Linked DNA regions of Caenorhabditis elegans. Changing the gene in region 1 together with any one later gene gives a genetic interaction. Each region holds a gene or a part of one and is shown in the gene's direction. Other genes may lie near its edges.

Region 1 (6,721 bases):
TGATGGTCTTCCTTTCCTTTGGAGTATTGAACCATGTGGCGTGGCTTGACTGCAATAATTAAAATAAAAATCAGTTGAATTCGTCAATTTATTTTCAGGAAAACTTAAAATAAACTACAAAAATTTTTAATGCAACATCGTGCCAGACGAAGTTGCCAGACTAAAATCAGGAAATATACTATTTTTTTTAAGTAAATCATCAACTCACTTGGCAGGGCGAATTTGTAGACTCCGTAGAGAATGACTCCTGAGTAAATGTAGAAACGGAAGATTGGGAGGTACTTCCAGCAATGGCGCCAGGACCACATTCTCAACTGAAATTGTCATTATTTATTTTCTTCATACTTTCCGGGAAATCTTACGTATTCTTGAGCGGTCCATGGCCGGGCTGGCATGCGTGGATGAAGGTCTGTGGCCGGGATTGGAGCATTTGGAGAAGCAACGACGACGGCGGCTCCTTTGACTGTCTCGGCAGTCCACTTTGCTGCCTCAAAGAGCTTTCCTACGACCATAGTTGATTACCTACAAAACTAAAAATGATTATGTAGTTAAGCTTTATTTGAATATTGATATTTTTAAGCTAAAAAAAAAGATAATTGACATAATTCAACATCGTGAGAGCGTGGGGAAAAATTGAACGTGAATTGCAAGAAATAAACAAAATAACTTATATTTATCAATATTTTACATCGAAAAAAAACTCAAAAAGAGCAATTTTTAGCTTAAAAATAAAAAATTGGGAAGCCAAAAACTGACGGCGGTTTTCGTCCCGCCCCTTTTTGCAAGATTGTGCGTGCTCGCGGTTGTGTGCAAACACGCCGCACACACTTACGACGCTGCGTTTTTTGTCTGCCTCCTGTTCTCGTTCAAAACTGTTTCACCGTTCACCTCGTTTTTCTCTCACTTTTCTGTTTTTCTTATTGTTTTCTACTAGAATTATATCTATATTTGTTCAAAATATAATAAAAAGACGACGCTTGAAGTGTTTCGAATAGTTATTTTCACTGAGCTGCACCTGTCTAATAGACCCACCGTTCAAGGAAGAAAATATCGATTTGTAGGCACTGAATAATATTTTTTAAACATTTTTCGATTCAAAATAAAAATACTTCCAGCAATGGCGCCAGGAAATTCATTGGAGAACTCACTCTCAAATATTAATCTCAATTTCGTAAAATGCTATTATCAAAAAATATCAATAGCACAGGCCACGTGGCTTTTGTTTTTTATTTAAGCTCCTCCCACAACTTTATTTCCGAAGTGAATTTAAAAATTAAACTAAAGGTCAATCATGGGAGGAGCCTAAATAAAAAAGAAATAAAAATCAAAAGCCATGTGGCCTGTGCGATTGATATTTTTTGATAATAGATTGTGGCTGGCTAGTTTAGATTCCTGTAGAAATTGTGCCAAGAAAATTTAAATAATTTCAAGACAAGGCCCAAAAGACAGTATATCATATTGTCAGAATTTTTTATTCCTTGGCACTGGCGAAATTTTCCAGTGCTCTAAATTATTCCAAAAAACCACAGCCACCTGTTTAAGTATATGTCTTTGAAAATTATATTCCTTCAAAGTTTTTACAAAACCTCAATTCTTATATTTTTCCGCTTCAATGATCTTGCCGAATTCAGTTTATTGATCAAAATGTGTTATAGTAATGAGCGTTTTCACGTCGCGTTTATATCGATTACCAAAAATTAGCCAAAAACTCGATCAATACTGCATAACCTGTCTTACACCTTCTCCTTCTCTTCATTTTATTTTTCTTCGAGCAATCTTGTTATTTCAGTCTACTGCGACCATCAAACATGAACTCAAACGGCCCGTTGATGGAGCACGGTAAGCGCCGTGTCGCCTACTACTATGACTCCAACATTGGAAATTACTATTATGGTCAAGGGCACGTCATGAAGCCACATCGTATCAGAATGACCCATCATCTCGTTCTCAACTATGGTCTGTACCGGAATTTAGAGATTTTCGTAAGTAATATTTCTTCATTGAAATATTGTAAACGTTTAATTTTAGCGCCCATTCCCTGCATCATTCGAAGACATGACTCGTTTTCACAGCGACGAGTACATGACGTTTTTGAAGAGTGCGAATCCAGATAATCTGAAATCCTTCAACAAACAAATGCTTAAGTGTAAGTTATATTCTTTTTAAAACTAAATGTATTGTCTCATTTCAGTCAATGTTGGAGAAGATTGTCCTCTCTTTGATGGTCTTTATGAGTTCTGCCAACTCAGTTCGGGAGGTTCTCTGGCTGCTGCCACTAAATTGAACAAGCAGAAGGTGGACATTGCTATCAATTGGATGGGAGGCCTCCATCACGCCAAGAAAAGCGAGGCGTCCGGATTCTGTTACACCAATGACATCGTTCTCGGTATTCTCGAGCTTCTCAAGTACCACAAGCGAGTACTTTACGTCGATATTGATGTTCATCACGGAGATGGAGTAGAGGAGGCGTTCTATACGACTGATCGAGTAATGACAGTGTCATTCCATAAATATGGAGATTTCTTCCCAGGAACCGGAGACCTGAAAGATATAGGAGCTGGAAAAGGAAAGCTCTATTCAGTCAATGTTCCACTTCGCGATGGAATCACCGACGTCTCTTACCAGAGTATTTTTAAACCAATCATGACAAAGGTTATGGAGAGATTTGATCCCTGTGCTGTTGTTCTTCAATGTGGAGCTGATTCTCTCAACGGAGATAGACTTGGACCATTCAATCTGACCTTGAAAGGCCACGGAGAATGTGCTCGTTTCTTCCGAAGCTACAACGTTCCACTTATGATGGTCGGTGGAGGTGGATACACTCCAAGAAATGTGGCACGTTGTTGGACGTACGAAACCTCGATTGCCGTCGATAAGGAAGTTCCAAATGAGTTGCCATACAATGACTACTTCGAATACTTTGGACCAAACTACCGACTTCACATCGAGTCGTCGAATGCAGCAAATGAAAATAGCTCCGATATGCTGGCTAAATTGCAAACTGACGTCATCGCCAATCTCGAGCAGCTCACTTTTGTTCCAAGTGTTCAAATGAGACGTACGTTTTGAACGAATTTTTGTTCACTTTTTAGAATCTGTCAGAAAATTATTAGATGTTTGTTGAACACTTCATAATTATTCCATTTTTCAGCGATCCCAGAAGACGCCCTCTCTGCATTGAATGATGACTCATTGATCGCCGACCAAGCTAATCCCGACAAACGACTACCACCACAAATTACCGATGGAATGATTCAAGACGATGGAGACTTCTACGATGGTGAGCGTGAGGGAGATGATCGAAGAAACGAGAGCGATGCGAAGAGAGCAGCTCAGTTTGAGTCGGAAGGTGGTGAAAAGCGTCAGAAGACAGAGTAAAACACTAAAATGTGCCGCCGTCGAATTCAGTATCTCCTCTGAAAATAATATTCAATCACTGTACACCACTTTTTCCTTGTCAAATGAGTATTACTTTTTGATTTTCCTTAAATCTAATTTAATTTTCCGCCCAAATCCCAACTGTTTTATTTATTTTTCAAATTCAAGCACTTTTATTTGGAAGATCTCTTCACTTTTCCCCATTAATCCTTTTTTATCTCAGTATCCTTTACCCGTTTTGCACTTCCTCAACATCCTTACTCCTCACATCCACATCTAATCTACCCCCTTCAACGATTTCCATTTCTCTTGTCGTCCCACACTCCCCATTTTACTGGCACACAATTCCAATTCCACAGTCAGATCCTGAACACTTTTTTGTATTTTGGTGAATTTCTTCGTTTTTATTTATTTAATAAAATTGACTCGATTGGAACCGGCGCAACGTCTATCTTCAATTCGGAAATTGGAAAAATCGAATTTGTCACATTGGAATTCGAATGGAAGAAGACTAAAGTTTTTGCAGTTGACATCGTTTATGTCGTCAGTTTCAGCTGCTTCATAATTATTGTCTGGAAGCGAGCAATTATAACACGAATTATGATGACTACGCATGTGGTCTCATATTACAGAATAAATTCTCATTTCTATTTTCAATTGTATTCCTTGTCTGTCTTCATCTGATGTTGGATGGTGTGCTCCAAAACGGAGACCAACAAAAATTGCATCATAAAAATCCACTTATCCAAATTTTAGCCCCACCTGGGAATGGAATCGAATCGGCTCTCCGAGCACTCCTTTCACACAGAGACGGAGAGAGAAATTAGCTTTTTACTGGGTTCTTGTTGTTGAAAATGCAAAAAAGATGAAAACATGTTTCGATTCTTTCTTTGTTTTTCTTTTTTCTTTCCACTCATTCATACTTTTCATTGTTTGTCGTTCATTTTTCAAGTCTAAAATTCAGAAATATCGAAAAAAAAGGATATTCAATTTCGCAACGTAACCGATTTCCGGTTAGATATCAGCTTGAGCAGAAGGGGAGGTGCATGAAGAATAAAAGAAGAAGGAAGGGAGAAGCTCAATTTCAGTTGATGAACATTCGTTTTTTAGTTTTATGTGTCTTGTCCTCCATTGAACTTAACTCTTTAAAAATGGATTACCGGTTTTTGAACATCTCTTTTTCAGTTTATTAATCGCAACGTCACACGTAAAGCCGCAAGGGTTTATTCGGATGGGTCTCGCCACGAGGAAAAAGTTTAAGTGTACAGTTTAGAATGTACATCAAAAAGTTATACTTCAAACTTTTCTCGCAGCGAGACCCATATGATTAATTCTGTGCACCTTTAAGTTTCAGAAAACAGCGAAAGATAAATGAGATGACATGAGAAGTGTACTATTCTCTTTTTTTTTAATTTGGCAGCTGAAAATACCAAGAGAACGGAGTTCGTGGCGAGACCCATTGAGAAAATTGTACGTAATCTTCTGTACACTCACGAATTTACTATAAAATTTAAGAAAATATTATTTAAAGTTTTCTAGATGATTATTGAATCTATTTGAGATTTTCTGTTAGCCACAATTTGGCATAATTTTCAATGGATTCAAAGAATTTTCGTTAAATTTTTTTTCTAAATTTGAAATACTTTGAAATTCTTTAAAAAATCAAGTGAAGTGGTTTAATAAAAAGACTGAAAATATATTTAAAAAGGTTTTTGTCTCTTCGGGTACAATTTCAGATAGAAATTGACGAATTGAGATACAAAGCTTTTAAAGTTTACTGAAATCGTATTATTACAAAATGAACGCATATTAATTTTTCCAGAACAATTTTTTGTCGACAAAATGTAGGAAATGTGAGATCCGTGTAATAACGGAAATAGAGCTGGCAAGCCCAAGTTTTGAGAATCTCGTTTTAAAAAAGACCGTTACACTTTTTACCAATAAACCATATTATCACTTCAAGACGGTTTTTTACAGACTTTTAGGCATGTTGTGATATATATTTTAAACTATAGTTTAATCCATAGGAAAAATTCTGAAGCTTTTCGGACTTTTTTCTTTAAAAAAATTAGTGAACATTGAACACGGCTCTGGAATAAACCAAATTTCTTTATACTACTCGTCTTACTATTAGTTAGACAGTTTTCACATCTATAACAAGAATGATATTTTAACCAGAATTTCTTGAATATCCCAAGAAAAAGTCTTATTCTATGGTATTTTGCTATCTTCTCAAATTTCAAAGATCTTGAAAGTAAGTCGTTTGTTTTCTTTCACATTGTGGTCTAAAATTAAATGAAGTAAATATCTATGTACATCTGCGTCCATTCAATTTCCCACTTAAAACAGAAATAAATGTAGTGCCCTTGTTAATGAGCAAAAGTTGACCTTCATTGATGGAGTTGAGAATATCTGGAATCAATTATTTTCATTATTGACTTCCCCCTTTGTCTACTTCCTCGTTATTGAAATACTTATATTTCTAATTGGAACACTTGAATTTAGAGTCATAAACTTTTGAACATGATCTTTTTCTCGTTGAGTTATCTACCATTTTCCTCGTAAAACAACGATCGATAAAATCCAATAAAATCATCACTTTAATCTCGGATACCGGAAATTCGAATAAAATTGAAAATTGATCATGTGCTCCTCCAAATAATCATGTCGTTATGTTTCACCAACGCTTATTTTCCTCTCTTTTTTGAATATGAATAGTGTTTCTATGGTTTGAATGAATGATGTCATTTTGAATGGCACACTTGCCTTGCTTTCCATTATTTAACAATAGGCAAGTTCAGCCAATAATGTGGTAAATGTATTAAGTAAAGCTATGAATGAACCAAAAAGGTAAAGACGTGCATTTACTTTTTGGATTTGCGCAAACCTTCAAGAAATACACTAAAATGACTGTACTGACCTGAAGTTTTAAAGAATATTTATCTGAAAAGTTCAATTTGGAATTTTTCCATTTCACTTACTATTAGTTCATTATAGTTCAAAAGTAATGTTTTTAGTTTAAAGAAAGCCTGAAAAATATAAAAATTTGGTTATACTCCTTTCATATAGCTGATTTATTTTTATATATCCACAACTAAATTATATCAGTAGTTGGACTTTTATATTTACCTACTTGAACCCGAAAAAATTATTTATTTTTTAAAATTGTCTCAAAGTTATTTTCAACAGTAGAGCGTGTCTTCCAATAAACACAACATACACTTTGTTTGTGCTCATTAAAAAAATTAAAATATAACTTAAAAACATTAACTGCCACATTTATAGAAATGTTCAGTTAGAGATAGAAATTTTTAATCAAGCTCCCAATATTTAAATTCAAAAT
Region 2 (7,670 bases), on another chromosome or scaffold:
TTCAACAGAAACTTTTTAAAATTTGATTTAATCTCAAATATTTCAGCTTCAAAATCTTACAAAAGGATGGGGAAAAGAAATGTCCGAATGGCAGAGTACAAATATTCTTGCCACGTTGGTAAAGACAAAATTAAGGCCGATTCTTGCGATGGTGGACGATCATATTGGATTCTCGAAAGGAAAAGATGAAATGAAGAAAAAGATTTCACAGAAAACAAGATATGCAAAATCGAAACGAGACGAAAAACTATTTTCAAAGTTTTCACACGAAAGAGAAGCTGTTCAACATGGAATTCTTGTTCTTTGTAAGCTCATTAAAGATGATCGATTTGATCTTCAGATCAAGGTACGTAGATATATCAATTGGGAGTTTAAATTGTAATTTATTTCGTAAGAAACTTATTTATTCCTTTTGTAGCTGTCATTAGGGCTGTGGACGAAAAATTGATTTTTTTTCTAAAACATAAACGGAATAAAATTTCGCCAAAACCCAAAAAAAAGACAAAAACAACAGTTATTACTTTCGAAACTAGTCTGAGGCGTTTTCACGAAAATTTTGAACCTATAGACATTTTCGAGTGTCGTTTTTTGACAAAAAGCGTAAAATTTCAAAATGCATACATTTTCGGGTAGTGAAAAGATAATTAAAAATGTCGCTTTTTTTCGTTTTTTTATATCAATTTTATCCGGTAAAAGCACAAAAAATAGATTTTTCGCCAGAAACACAGAATAAAGCGAAAAATGCAGCCTTGGCTGTGACCTTCAAGCTACAAAATTATATATTTGAAAATCTTTTTTTTAGACATTTTCAAAAATATTTTTAAAGAACAATTCAATTGGATATCGTGACTTCCGAATCGATATGGAAGTTCTTCGCAACAAATTGAGCGGGCAAGCTAATGAAGAAGTTTGTGAACCGTACGTTTTAAATTTCAAAAAGTATTGTTTCTCCAGTTTATTATTGAATCCTCTTTTGTTTCTTTAAATAATTTTCAAGTAACGAGATGCTTTCAGAGCCACCAAACGAGGCCGTAGGGACCCAAGTATGGAAGATGAAGAAATAGAAGAAACTGAAGAGAGTACAACATCTGCAAGAAGAAGCTCCGAAGAACCCGAAGAGCCAAGAGATCAAGAGAACACTGTTGGAGTGGTATGTGTACGAGATTTTATGAGTTGTGTAACCACTACTTGAGCTGATTAATTCTAAGGCCGAAAAATATTTTATTTGGACAAAAACTTTAACTCTAAAAAATAAAGTTTCAAAAAACAATTCGGCAATTAAAATTTCGAAAAAATTAAAGTAAGTCTCCATATCTTTCAAAAATCTTACAAATGTTAAAATCCAAAAATAGTTTACTGTTTCAACAATTCCTATGATGTTTTGAATAAAAAAGAAATCATTATTTTTCAATATAAATTGTGGATATTCGGTGCGAAACTGTTTCAATGCGCTGATTAATAGGACCACATTTGTGTCAAATGTTCATTTCAATTTGTGAAATGATCTAAAACAGCGGCATCCCAGACATAAAATGTATGTAGTTCCAAATGCCTCGACCACATACATTTTATTATTCTCATTCACCCATTAAACATCCCTTTTCCATCAACCGACATCAATTTGACCCAAGGTGACCCTTATATGGGAATTTTCTATTTCTGGAACATAAATCTGACTTTCATTGTATTCGTTGTCATAATGATGACATAAAGTGCAAACAAATGTGTACACCATCGTCTCACCACCATCTGTTACACACATCCAACCAATTATCGCCTTCTCGAATCTTTGAATGTTTATAACCACCCATCACATCCCTCCTTTTTCGATAAAATCTAACATTGTGGGAAATGAATGTGTCAATTACTGAAATGAAATGATTGATCAAAGGGCATAACCTTGTTAGTTGTTGATAGCTTCATTTACCTTAATCCTTATATAAATTTACGCTGCCCTTAAATCAAGTGTCGTGTTCAAGAATATATTTTTCACGAGACGACTTGCACTCTTAATCTAAAAATGTATTTTTAGGTGAAGCAGGAGGTTGATGACGAAGAAGAAAGTGTCTCCAGAGGCACGAGTCCAGTCTTCTGATCAGTTAGCAATGAAACGACAATTATATTTGATTTCCTAATGAGTTTAAACTCTCGAGTTTTTATATGTGTAATATATTCTTCAACACTCCGGAATGCTTCTAATTAGTTACAAATGACAAAATGGAGCTTCATTCATGTTTTGGTTTTTTTTTAAATTTTCATGACTGCTACAGTATACCGTCTTGTTGTTTAATCTAATAGAATCATTCAAGAGTTTTTATTCTTTCCATTTGAATCTCAATTTTCACTATTATCATTTGATTCTCATCTCATTTTCTTACCGATTTTCAATCTCAAATTATTTAAGAACATACCATGTCAATAAACTTATTATTTGTTAAACATGATTTTTTAAAAATATTTTCTTCAAGACAGGTTTATGTCTCTTTATTCAATATTTCAACCTTTTCCGTTTTTTTAGATAATTTTGTGAGTTTTTTATACTGGAATTGTGATTATGTACATGTAAAATATTTATAAATGCTTCTCTCTATAGTAAGTTGCAGCTTCATCGTGTTTGATTCGAAATATTAGTTAGAAATCCTCGGATCCTCGTGTTACTTGAATATCAAACTTATTGGATACATTCATCTTCTACACTCGGGCTCAAAAGAGCTCAAAACAAATGTGCTCTATCGACAACTCCTCCCCCCATTCGGTCACCCATTCAGCGTCGCATTCATCGCCGCGCGTTCGTCCTCCTCGACACCAATACCTCCTTCATTCTTCAACGTTAGTGGGGCTATATGACCAGTCGTTTTGCAATTAATGTATGATTCTCTCCGTCTACACCACTGGAAACCCATGTCCTCTTTCTTTGTTTCTTCGTCTCGTTGTCAACGTCTATTCAAACCACGTGCTATTTCTTGAGTTTTGTTGTCTTCTCCCAATCCATCACTAGTCTGTTCTTCCTTGCATTTTTTTGATCGAATTTTTAAAACTCCTCTCATAATTTTTATGTTAATAATTCACTATCCACTTGATTGTATTTAATTTTCAGTAAAAATGAAGGCATCGTATCTGGAAACCCTCGATCGAATCAAAGACGAGCATGCGGAAATGTCGAAGCATGTCAACCAGCAACGAGTAAGCTTAATTTTGTAAGAGAAATTTTAGTATATTGAAAACAATTTTGCAGTCGGATATCGAAAAGGTTGCGTTAGAGAAAGAAAATATGAATAGATCGTATATGACGTACGCTGAAGTATCAAATACTCTTCGTAGCGATCTTCGAAAAGCAGAAGAAATCAACAAACGCCTTCAGGAATTCATCATGCAATCGGTAAATTAACTCGTCAATAATGTTATTAAAAAATCGAACAAAAATATAGAAAAAGCTATTACAATTTTTTTGTTGAAATATTTGAACTAAATATTATGGAAACGTTATAATATCTATTGGATTGTACCTTGTTCAACTCAAACATGCTCCTCTTTCCATATATTCATTTATAAATAGAAGAAAAATTATTATGTAATATTTTTAATTCATAATAATCAATTTTAGGTAATATTATAAATGTATATTTTTCAGTTGGCTCCTCAACTATCTCAAGATAATCAAGCAAACTGCCTCGCCGCACTGGAAGCTTTCAAAACCGCATCACCACGTGAAAATGGAAATGGAGCACCAGCACTTCCACCAGGTTTTCCTCCCGGTGCAGCTGGAATGCTTGGAATGATGCCAAATATGCCATTCGGAATGAGCCCTGCAATGAGTCAACTATTCAATCAATTCGCATCACCACATGTCAACGGTGGAGATGGAGCCGGTGGAAGTTCTGGAGGTGCAAGTGAAGCGAAAAAGGCCAAGCTGGAAGATCCAGATGATGGAGAACTTGAGATTGATGTCACAAATGATGATCATCCAAGTACTGCATCAAATGGAGGCGCAGCTAATAAAAATGGAAGAGATAGCACAAATAGTGTTGCCTCATCGGGAGCATCTACACCGAGCATCGCATCAAATTCTAGAGCAAGACAACAACAGCAGCCACTCGCTGGGCTTCAAGGATTGGAGCAAATGAACTTTTTAGCTGGATTCAGTACGTGTTTACAATCTTTTGAAGTGTGCTAAGTGGAGGGAGCAAATACCAAAACTTCAGGCAATGCCAAAATATTTCAATTTTCAGATCCAAATCTTCTCCGACAAGCTAGTGCTGCTGGAGGATTCAACTTTTTGAATGATCCCCATGCACAGGCCCGTCTTGCAGCTGCCATCGGGCAAATCGGTAGCAGACCGGCCTATTCATTCAAAATTGTGGACGGTGGAGTTCCAACACCTACATCCTTCCCTCCAGATGCACAGAAAGGTCCCGGAATTCCGACGTAAGAAAATATAATAATTGGCTTTGATTCAAATTTGAAAAAAAAAATTGCAGAGGTCTCAAGAAGAAAATGGAATTAAATCACGGAGAAGTAGTTTGTGCGGCCACAATTTCCCGTGATAACAGTCGTGTTTATACTGGTGGAAAAGGATGTGTTAAGATCTGGGATGTCAAAGAATCAGATATTTCTGGCGCAACGGTTGTGAATCGGCCTCCAATTGCATCCTTGGATTGTCTCAAAGAGAACTATATTAGATCTTGTAAACTCTTTGAAGATGGAAATACACTTCTGATTGGAGGAGAAGCCAGTACTGTTGCTCTTTGGGATCTTACAACTGAAACAAAAACTTTGGACTTGGAAACTGATTCACAAGCATGCTACGCGTTGGCGATGTCACCAGATGAGAAATTATTGTTCGCATGTCTTGCTGATGGAAATATCCTCATTTATGATATCCATAATAAGGTGAAAGTTGGAACCCTACCTGGACATCAAGATGGAGCATCATGTCTCGATCTCTCAAAAGATGGTACAAAGCTCTGGTCAGGTGGTCTTGACAATTCTGTTAGATGCTGGGATCTTGCACAACGAAAGGAAGTTGCGAAGCATGATTTTGCGAGCCAAGTTTTCTCTCTTGGATGTTGTCCAAATGATGAATGGGTGGCTGTTGGTATGGAGAATAATTATGTCGAGGTTCTGTCAACAACTGGAAAAGAAAAGTATCAATTGACACAACACGAATCATGCGTCCTTTCGCTCAAATTTGCGCATTCCGGAAAGTTCTTCATTTCAACTGGAAAGGTATGTTTTGATTATACTTTGTCATTTACCGTATTTCTTCTATTAGTATGGCCTCCCTATTAGACTTGCACTCCCTATTAGTATTGCCCCTCGGAGACCTTCCAAAAATTAGTATGGCACTCCCTATTGCACTCTCTAATAGTCTTGCGTTTACTTTTTTTTTATTGCAAACCCATCTCGCTAATTTCAGGATTTCAACAATATTTTTTGCCTATTGTGCAACAATTTTTCACAAAATTTATACGAAATTGAAGTTTTTGAACTTATAGGTTACAATTAAAATCAAAATTTTTTGTATTTTTACATAAGATTCGAGCTTTTTCAGAAAAAAACTAGTAAGCTCAAAGTCAGAAAAATATTCTGAAAATTAGTATTGCACTCCCTAATATTCTTGCACTCCCTATTAGTCTTGCAAGCGGGAAGACCATCGAAAAATAGTATTGCAGCCATATTAATAGAAGAAATACGGTAATTGGCTCAATTTTTCTAATTGAAACCTCATAATCTCAATTTTTCAGGACAATGCTCTCAACGCCTGGCGTACTCCATACGGAGCATCACTCTTTCAACTAAAAGAGAACAGCTCCGTTCTCTCATGTGACATCTCATTCGACGACTCACTCATTGTCACTGGATCAGGGGAGAAGAAGGCAACTCTCTATGCAGTTGAATATTAATTTTTTTCCGCAGTGAATTTATGATCATGATACTCAAAACCCCTATTCTGTACGATAATCGTTTCATCTCTCTCATCTCTTCTAATTTCGTTTGTCAAATTTTCGTATTTGTGTACCCTATTACGATTAATGTCACTCTATGTTTAAAACATTTATTTATTTGCACTACAAAACAATGATGATCTGACTTGACTTTAACAGCAATTAATAAAACATTTCAAAAATCTGAAACTCTTCCCTTCCTCTCCCAATCACCATATCGAGTTGGCTCTGGTCCAGCTGGTCCACCAACTTCTCCAGTTGACTTATTCACACCTCCCGGATGTTTCTTGAGGTGAGGATCTTCATATTGTTGTTCGTCTGCTTTATCAAGTGCTCCTTTCGGTGTCTTCTCAGCCATCACCTTCTCCTTCGCACTTTGTTTTGGTTTTATATCTGCGAATCGGCGGGAAGAATCTGAATCGTCAAGAAATTAGAAAATTGTTTTTTGTGTAAAATCCATACTCAAAATTGGACGAAGAATCTGACGAAGCATTTGATCTGAATATTTTTTTTAATTGTTTCAATAGGACTAATCTTGCGACTAAAGTTACATCGATATCTCCAAGGCTCCACCCATTTTTCCTTCAGTAACATATGAAAATATTGACAACAAATCTTTATCACATATATAAAAGTCCATAGAAACAAATGTTCTTTGATGCATTTCAAGAAAGTGGGCGCATAAGATCAAAAGAATAGGATAAGAGCTAAGGTAATTTAATTGAACATGCACTTGTACACGGCATAAATGACAAGTCCCATTGTAGTTGGAATCAGGAAGTTGGTCCATGTTGGTGAAGTCATAATTTCGGTGAAATCATTGAGGAGAGATGATGATTTTTCGTTTTTCGAAGGTTTCGCAGCCGCTGTCTCGACTTTTGGAACGTCTGATTCTGGCAATTGACCAATGAGATATTCATTGGCCATTTCAATAGCATCTTTTGAGTGCCCAACATCGAGGAATCCAACTGTAGCATCTTTACCGGCTAATTGAGTGATGACTTCTTCACCTCCTGGATGCTCATTCAAGAACTTTGTCACATCGTAGACCTGTAAGGAATGATTTCGATATTTAAATTTAAAAAATGAAAAAAAAATTACCTTTCCGGAGATGACAATCCAACACGATTGATCAGCATCTTCCCAGTTGTGCTTTGAGACCTCATCGAGAGAAATGACACGTAGCTCCGACATAATTGATGAACCCTGAAACAAAAAATGGTCTCTAAGTCGTTGAAAATTATTCAAAAGTGATATATTTCGGTTGAAAACCAGAAACTTTAGTATAAATTGAAAAAAAAAACATAAGGAAATCAAATAATTTATGCAGAAAATACTAAGAATTACCCTACAATCTCATGAAAAGGCACATTGAACATCGGAAGAAAATAATTCAATTATAAAACAATTTTGAAACACCCATGAAAATGAAGTCAACCTGAAAAAATAACAAAAATCTTGGGAATATAATTATTTCGTTTTTTCTCTGTGATCAGCTCCAATTGCTTCCGAAACATGCGAAAATCCATCTTTCCGTAAAAGTTCGACAAGTTCTCGTTTGATTTTTCCGATTACCGGAAATCCTTCATAGACGAACGCGGAATAGAGTTGGACCAGACTAGCACCGGCTCTGAAATTTTACATTTAGTTAAATAAATTGAAATTAATACTTTGATTGAATAACGGTGGACTATACGGCCTGTGGGAAAATCAATAAAACCATTC
Region 3 (7,109 bases), on another chromosome or scaffold:
CCGTTTGGACATCAGAATCCGGAAAAAACACTGAAATTTGAAATTTTATTTCTAAAACTCCATTATTTCTTCTCCATTTTACATGGTGAACAGAAAACCGTTCGACTAAATTAAAAAAAAAAGTTCATTTGGATCATATCCCTTTCCGTTCCAGAGTACTGTAGAATTTCACTTTATTTCGAATCAGCTGTCTTCGCTCTAATGAGAATTTTTTGAGTTTTCAATCAATATTATAATCGTCGATCGCGTTTTGAATGGTAGGCTCGAGTGCATATTCCAGAATTTCCAATTCCTTGTAGTTTTCATTTTGATTAAACTTAAACATTTCATATTTTCCCTGTTGATATTACAAAAGTTGAATTTTCTGCAAGCTGGTAAAGTCGACTGAATAAATATTTCAGTACCATAATATAATAAAATTGTCATTTCTGCCTGTATAGTTGTAGTAGACCCTAATCCATCATCTAGATTCTCGATCTCGGATAGGTATTTAGAAATTTTCAGAAATACGTCCTAATATTCAGTGTTGAGCTTCATCTAAGGTCATTCAAACACCTTCTTTTTTGATTGAGAAATCATCAAAGATTGCATTAAAATTCCTCATATATGTATTAAAATTGCTTACATTTAACCTTCCAGTAGTATTTGCTTACATGAAAAGTATTTCAACTTGACTTTCATAGGCCACTACAAAAAATTTAGCAACAGAGGAACACTTTGATCTAAAAAACCGATTTTAAATTTTGACTTGAATTTTTCACTGCTTTTCGGTGTCCGGCTGACCCGTGAAATTGCTCAAATGCTAATTTTGCAAACTTTTGGTGGTTTAAGTGGTAGGAAAACACAATGGAAGCTTTTTTGTAAGAACGCTGAAAATTTTCACATAAAATCGAGAATAATTTTAGATTTTTTTTCTTAAAAAATGAGCTGGATAAAACTTCTCTACAGAAAATTTTCAATAAAGTATTTAGCTGAACAGTAGTCTGAAATACTTTCAGATCGATATTTTTTCTAGTTCAAAAAGCTACTCTGCTGCTATGTCTTTTGTAAGTTACCGGTACAGTAATCAATGTTTCCTTCTAACTAGATACTATGTTTATTCATATCATTTTTGGTTTTCAGTTTAGGACCCTGTTGGAATTCTGCTTCCAACGAACATGACCGATTGTAGATTTTTCTATTCTAGAAATATTCGTATTCATTCACATATAATATACTCAACACGTCTAGCTATTCCCACACTTTATGTTTAAGAACAGTTCAATCATGCGCATTATCGTAAGAATCATGAATTACTGTATATTCGGATCCTTAATTGCACCTTCGATACCGAAAGATAAGGAAACGAGAGCGTAGAGAAACGGACGGAACGCCCAGCGCTGAGCAGTAGAGGGGCGCATAGAGTGTGAAACGGAGGCCCCGCCCCATCTCGGCCACACTATTACAATCTTGAGGACAGCAGCACGGCGTCGTCGTCCGGAATCTCAGTCTTCATCGTCGTCAACTTCAGAAGTCTATTGGGATGACTGAGAACTACTGCCAGTCTACCACCCTCCGCCACCCTGTCGCTCCGCCTCTCTTGGTGATATCGACAGTCGGACGAGGAGGGCTATTGCCCCGCCTCTCGCACTTTTTGAACTGCCGCTCTTCCGTCCTCCTCAGTTTTTTTGCTTCTCCGGTGGTATTTGATAATTTCCTTTTAGAACATTACACTTTCGATTATTCTCTATCTATTCAAGCCACTGCCGGCTCATGAGAGTTCAATGCGAGCTCACAAACTGAACCATTAAGTGCTCAATCGTGGTTATCGATTTTTCAGAGCTTCAAGTCTGGCTCTTACTCTGGCATTACACGAAGTGATAATATACAGTATTCAACTACTAAATACTATTGCTCTACGATTTTCTATGTATTTTGCTCCTAGTAGCTCAAATTCATTATTAAATTTAACTTTTATCTTTGCAACCTCATCATTCATCTATCTGTTTCGCTCTCGTTCTCTCATCTTTCAAACTTTGTTAATAATGTTATTTTCTTCAATATCACACCAAAAATTATAATCAAAACTTTCATCTCGATCCATTAGATGCTTGTAAACGGAGCCTGTCCAAATGGCATATTCCTTCGTGTGCGTGCGTGTCGCGTGCGGTTAATGTTCTACCGTATCTCGCGAAACGCGGTTTTCGTTGCGAGACACCCACAGCATGGGGCACCCGCTGTCGGCGTTCTCTCCCGATACACACTACTTCGTGGGTGGCTGACTCGTGCTGTCTGTCGTCTCTCCCACTGACCATGTTATTTTGACGAACGGTGTTCTGCGCTTCTTCACGATCATGAACTTTTGAACGTGTCACGTGGAAAATGTTTTGCAACTTTTTAAGTCAAAATACAGTTCAGAATCGGGTCAGTAGTACCATGTGAATCGACGGGATCATCTGAGAAAGAGAAGTTAGCCTCATAAGGTTGGCTTAGCAAATATCGATCGAGCTAGATATACCTGTAAGTATCTAGAGCATTCATGTTTTTAATGGTCCCAAACACCTTTAATGCTTAAAAATACCCGAATTTCACAATATAGATGCCCGCCTTCTTCATTATGCATAGTATTTTTTAAAAATATCTCTCAAGACTGCATAACAACTTTTTTTTGTTAATCCGTATATTACTATAGTGTTTCTAATTAAAATTTGTTTTCGAAGTTTTGCAAAATTGGCTATGAATCCAATTTTAAGCTCTAAATTTATGATAGCTACAGTAACCCATTCATTGGAATTTGATGTTATTAATTCAATTTTAGCATTTAAACGCTCCTTCTCTATTATTACACGCTTAAACAACTTATACAATGGTGCAGGTAAACTTTAAAAAGTGCAACCATCCTCCGTTCATTCTATTGATTTTCCATCTCCTTCTCTCTCACTGTCTGTCTCTCTTCAATTCGCCTCCTCTTTTCATAAGTGCTCTCGCTCTCTAACCACCCTCCACTCATTACTTCACCGATGTTCTTCTCACTCTTCCTCCTCCCTCCTCCGTTCACCGACAAAAATCCATATATCCATTTCATTTTTTTCAGAAACAAACAGCTATATCTGGTGATTTTGCCAAACTAACCCAAATAAGCGGGAACTCTGATGAAGTAGTGGTTGACGTGGGAATTCAAAAACCGACGGACGCAACCAATTCAGGTGTTCCGAGAAGTAGAAAGAGTTCACTTGGTTCGAATTTTGTCAAATATATACATTTTTCTACTAATTGATGGATGAACCACCATCAAAAAAATCTCGCGCTGATAGCGGTAAGTTGCTAGGAAAGTTAAGATGCTACGGTATGATCCTTTAAACTTTTCAGACTATGATTCTGGGTTAGATGCGCTAAGTGCTCTCGAAAGTCTCGAAGCATTCCCAACTTCTAGTAAAGATACAGATGTAAGTTTTTTTGTTTGAATTAACACTCTGTTTTATAAAAATTGTTGTTCAGGTAGACAATAATCCAAGCACATCAGCTGGAGGATCCGGTGGTCCTTCTGGCTCGACACCTCATCCACAAGGCACTCCACAACCAGCACCATCAAACAATGGCGGGTTCAATCTACAACCAGGACAGTCGCAACCTCAGCAGCCGCCACAGAATATGGGAGGAGGTGTCAATGGATCAGTGCTTCAAGAACTTCTAATGAATCCATCACAAACGTCGAACAATTCACCTCGGCCGCAGGCATATCCGCCTGGACAGCAAAATGCATTTAATAGGAGTCCAATGATGCCAAATGGTACACCGAATATGATGTCACCTCCATCTATGGGTCGAGTGCCGGGGCCCAGTCCTGGAGGTCCACAACCACCAGGCCCAGGCCAACCACAAATGCGACCAGGCCAACCAGGAATGTTCCAAGGAGATCAGCAACAGCAAATGATGATGGGTGCACAAGGACAACAATTCCCAGGAATGATGCATCGATATCCGTACGCACAAGGTGGTCCTCCACCAGGAGCCCAGGGAATGCCTCAAGGATATCCAGGAGTTAGTCGGGGCGGACCAACTCCTGGACAACCCATGGGACGTGGTGCTATGATGAATGGAGCAATGCCAAGAAGTGGACCAATGCCGACACAAGGAAGACCTGGAATACCTCCAAACCAACAAGCAATGATGCAGCCAATGATGACTGATCGGCAGTTTATGCAACACGGACAATATGGTCAGCAGCGACCAGAATTTATGCAACAATATGGTCGTCCCGGTGGATATCCAATGATGCATCAAGGGGTAAGTAGAAACTATTTCCTGATTTCTATTTCATTTTGGTTTGATCTTTAAAAAATGCGGGAATTTTTTTTGTTTTTAACCTAGAAAATTGGTAAGATCAGCATGATCTTAACTGTGCGATTCTGACAATTTTTGAAGATCAAACAAAAATGGAACACTTATTAGCTTGACGTGAATTTGGCCAAATCAAAATCGATGTGTAATTGAAACTTAAGTTTCCAATAATTCCCTAATCTTCCACAAATATTGGTTGGAAGTTGCTTGGAATCATAACAATAATCTTCTACATTTCAGATGATGATGGACAGTAATGGTCAACCGATTCGAGGCCCGAATCAAATGATGATGATGAGCAATGGGCATCCAGGAATGTCACACGGTCCTCCAAATGGTCAACCTGGACCACAAGCTGCTGCAGCACAACACGCTGCTCAACAGCAAGCTGCTGCACAAGCTCAAGCTCAGGCGGCTGCACAACAACAACAGCAGCAACAACGAGAGCAAGAAGCTGCGGCGGCAGCTCAACGAAATGGTGCTGGAAGGGCGACAACTCCTGGATCAAGCATGCTTGCAACGCATCAAGATCCCGAGAAGCGGAAGCTTATTCAGCAACAACTTGTTCTATTACTTCATGCACACAAATGTTCTCAACGTGAGAAGGTATGTTATACAGTATGTTCTGGTTTCCTTCATACATCATCAGCTTTTACAGGAAAATCGTGATTTCGCTGCGAAGAATCAACCACCTCCACATGCTGCCTGTACATTACCCCATTGCTCAACGATGAAAGAAGTATTGACACACATGACAAGCTGCAATGTTGGTCGTTTATGTCATTGTAAGTATATTACCCGTCGTGTCGCTTCTTTTTCTCTATCTGGAAAGAGTTTCGAACATTTTCGCAAGAAGAAGCGCCTATTCCCACCCAAAATTTCGCTTCACTCTAGCCACTGTTTGAAATCTCTTTCAGCCGATACCACACAAACTACAAAAAAATGTTCAGTCGCTCATTGTGCATCGTCTCGCCAAATAATAGCTCACTGGAAAAACTGCTCAAGGGAAGATTGTCCTGTCTGCAAACCACTCAAAAGGATACAAGATACTCCATTACAATTTTCATGTACGTTCTATCCTACTCAAGAACATTTTTTAAATATTTGATTATTTTCAGTGCCCGATCTTGCAAATCTAATAGGAGTCAACGGGAATTCGAACGGAAGCGCAGAAGGTGATGGACTTCATCAGTTTGGATCGCCAGCGATGCGAACTGGAAATATTACAAATTCTCTATTCGAAGGATTCAATGGCAATCCATTCCAAAACGGACCAAATCGTGGAGGACCGAGACCACCTGGTGGAAATGGAGAAATTCCAAACTTGCCACCACCAGATATGCCAGATTGTACGAAAGAATGGCATCATCAAGTCACAAAAGATCTCAGAAATCACCTTGTCGGAAAATTGGTTAAAGCGATTTTCCCGGAACCGAATCAGGAAGCGATGAATGATAATCGGTTAAAAGATTTGATAGCCTATGCCAGAAAAGTCGAAAAAGAGATGTTTGAATCTGCAAATGACAGAGAAGAGTATTATCATTTGTTGGCTGAGAAAATTTACAAGATACAAAAAGAGCTTCAAGAGAAAAAGAATTCAAGACTCAATCAAGGAGCTGCTGCACATGATCGTAAGTTTTTTTTTTTTAAAATTTCACCCTTTAACCAATTTTCATTTCAGAATACGCAATTCCACCGTCGAACGAGCTCGCTCAGATGCTTGGTGTGGAAGGTGGACGTAGTGATGTTCATTCTGAAGGAAGTAGTATGGCAGTTGCACCAAGTCAACAAAATCAACCATGGGGAGGTGCTCCGAATTCCAACATGCATCAGCAGATTCCTCCGAATGGACAAGTTCCACAGGTCAATAATTCTTCGACATTCCCGTCAAGTGGTAACAGCACTCCAAACATCGGAGCTTCATCTACTGTCAGTGCTATGCTGCAACCGAAAACTGAACCCATGGACGATCAGAATACAGATTCGTTAAGTTCAAGACCACCAACGGCTATTGGATTCGGTGGCTCGAGCTCATCAACGCCAGCTCCAATTATGAACGGAATTGTTAAGAAGGAAGAAGATCCTGAAGAGTCTTCAAATCAAGCTCCTCCATCAGTTAAGGATACTAAGGATGGTGTAGCTGAATCGAAACCTAAAGAGCAACAAGCAAAGCGAGAACCTACCCCGCCACCAACTGAAGATACAGTGTTCAGTCAAGAGGATCTTATAAAATTCTTGCTTCCTGTATGGGAGAAGCTAGATAAATCCGAAGACGCTGCACCATTCCGAGTTCCAGTCGATGCAAAACTTTTAAATATTCCCGATTATCACGAGATCATCAAGCGCCCAATGGATTTGGAAACCGTTCACAAGAAATTGTATGCGGGTCAGTATCAAAACGCTGGTCAATTCTGTGATGACATTTGGCTGATGCTTGACAATGCTTGGCTGTATAACAGAAAGAACAGTAAAGTATACAAATACGGTCTTAAGCTGTCGGAAATGTTTGTGAGTGAAATGGATCCAGTGATGAAGAGTATGGGATACTGTTGTGCCAAGAAACTTGCATTCACACCTCTTTCATTGTTCTGTTACGGTGCAGCAATGTGCACGATAGCCAGAGAACAGCAATACTGGGTATTCGAACAAAGTTCTACGCAGTACAATGTGACAGTTACGGAGAGATATACTTATTGTCAGAAATGTTTCGATGCTCTTCCTCCTGAAGGAATATCACTTTCCGAAAATCCCAACGATCGAAACAACATGGCACCGAAAACATCGTTTAC

The links. Genes that interact genetically often act in the same process or in processes that back each other up.
Region 2: of hda-1 (region 1) and unc-37, changing one enhances a phenotype caused by changing the other (phenotypic enhancement), as found in Caenorhabditis elegans (one study listed by BioGRID).
Region 3: of hda-1 (region 1) and cbp-1, changing one suppresses a phenotype caused by changing the other (phenotypic suppression), as found in Caenorhabditis elegans (one study listed by BioGRID).

Annotation. Positions count from the first base shown.
Region 1 is NC_003283.11:14,523,600-14,530,320, forward strand, and holds hda-1 (Histone deacetylase 1), read left to right. Parts: upstream 1-1,789; 5' UTR 1,790-1,808; coding exon 1,809-1,982; intron 1,983-2,028; coding exon 2,029-2,146; intron 2,147-2,191; coding exon 2,192-3,058; intron 3,059-3,151; coding exon 3,152-3,378; 3' UTR 3,379-3,812; downstream 3,813-6,721. Other genes in the region: ril-1 (RNAi-Induced Longevity), read right to left, coding at 1-49, 209-314, 363-512.
Region 2 is NC_003279.8:6,740,757-6,748,426, reverse strand, and holds unc-37 (Transcription factor unc-37), read left to right. Parts: upstream 1-3,097; 5' UTR 3,098-3,102; coding exon 3,103-3,183; intron 3,184-3,235; coding exon 3,236-3,379; intron 3,380-3,631; coding exon 3,632-4,142; intron 4,143-4,229; coding exon 4,230-4,425; intron 4,426-4,478; coding exon 4,479-5,226; intron 5,227-5,744; coding exon 5,745-5,903; 3' UTR 5,904-6,120; downstream 6,121-7,670. Other genes in the region: fnci-1 (FANCI helical domain-containing protein), read left to right, coding at 47-346, 827-918, 1,015-1,150, 2,033-2,095; W02D3.12 (Succinate dehydrogenase assembly factor 4, mitochondrial), read right to left, coding at 6,121-6,359, 6,408-6,438; cytb-5.2 (Cytochrome b5 heme-binding domain-containing protein), read right to left, coding at 6,663-6,995, 7,047-7,139; dhod-1 (Dihydroorotate dehydrogenase (quinone), mitochondrial), read right to left, coding at 7,416-7,575. UniProt on the Caenorhabditis elegans protein: Transcriptional corepressor that functions with the neural specificity gene unc-4 to govern motor neuron identity. In concert with unc-4, represses the expression of VB-specific genes such as ceh-12, thereby preventing the adoption of VB motor neuron fate.
Region 3 is NC_003281.10:9,763,443-9,770,551, forward strand, and holds the start of cbp-1 (Protein cbp-1), read left to right. Parts: upstream 1-3,067; 5' UTR 3,068-3,255; coding exon 3,256-3,295; intron 3,296-3,348; coding exon 3,349-3,425; intron 3,426-3,477; coding exon 3,478-4,266; intron 4,267-4,560; coding exon 4,561-4,926; intron 4,927-4,978; coding exon 4,979-5,105; intron 5,106-5,237; coding exon 5,238-5,387; intron 5,388-5,438; coding exon 5,439-5,951; intron 5,952-6,001; coding exon 6,002-7,109. UniProt on the Caenorhabditis elegans protein: Acetyltransferase enzyme. Acetylates histones, giving a specific tag for transcriptional activation. May prevent DNA damage-induced apoptosis by inhibiting cep-1-dependent transcription activation of the programmed cell death activator egl-1.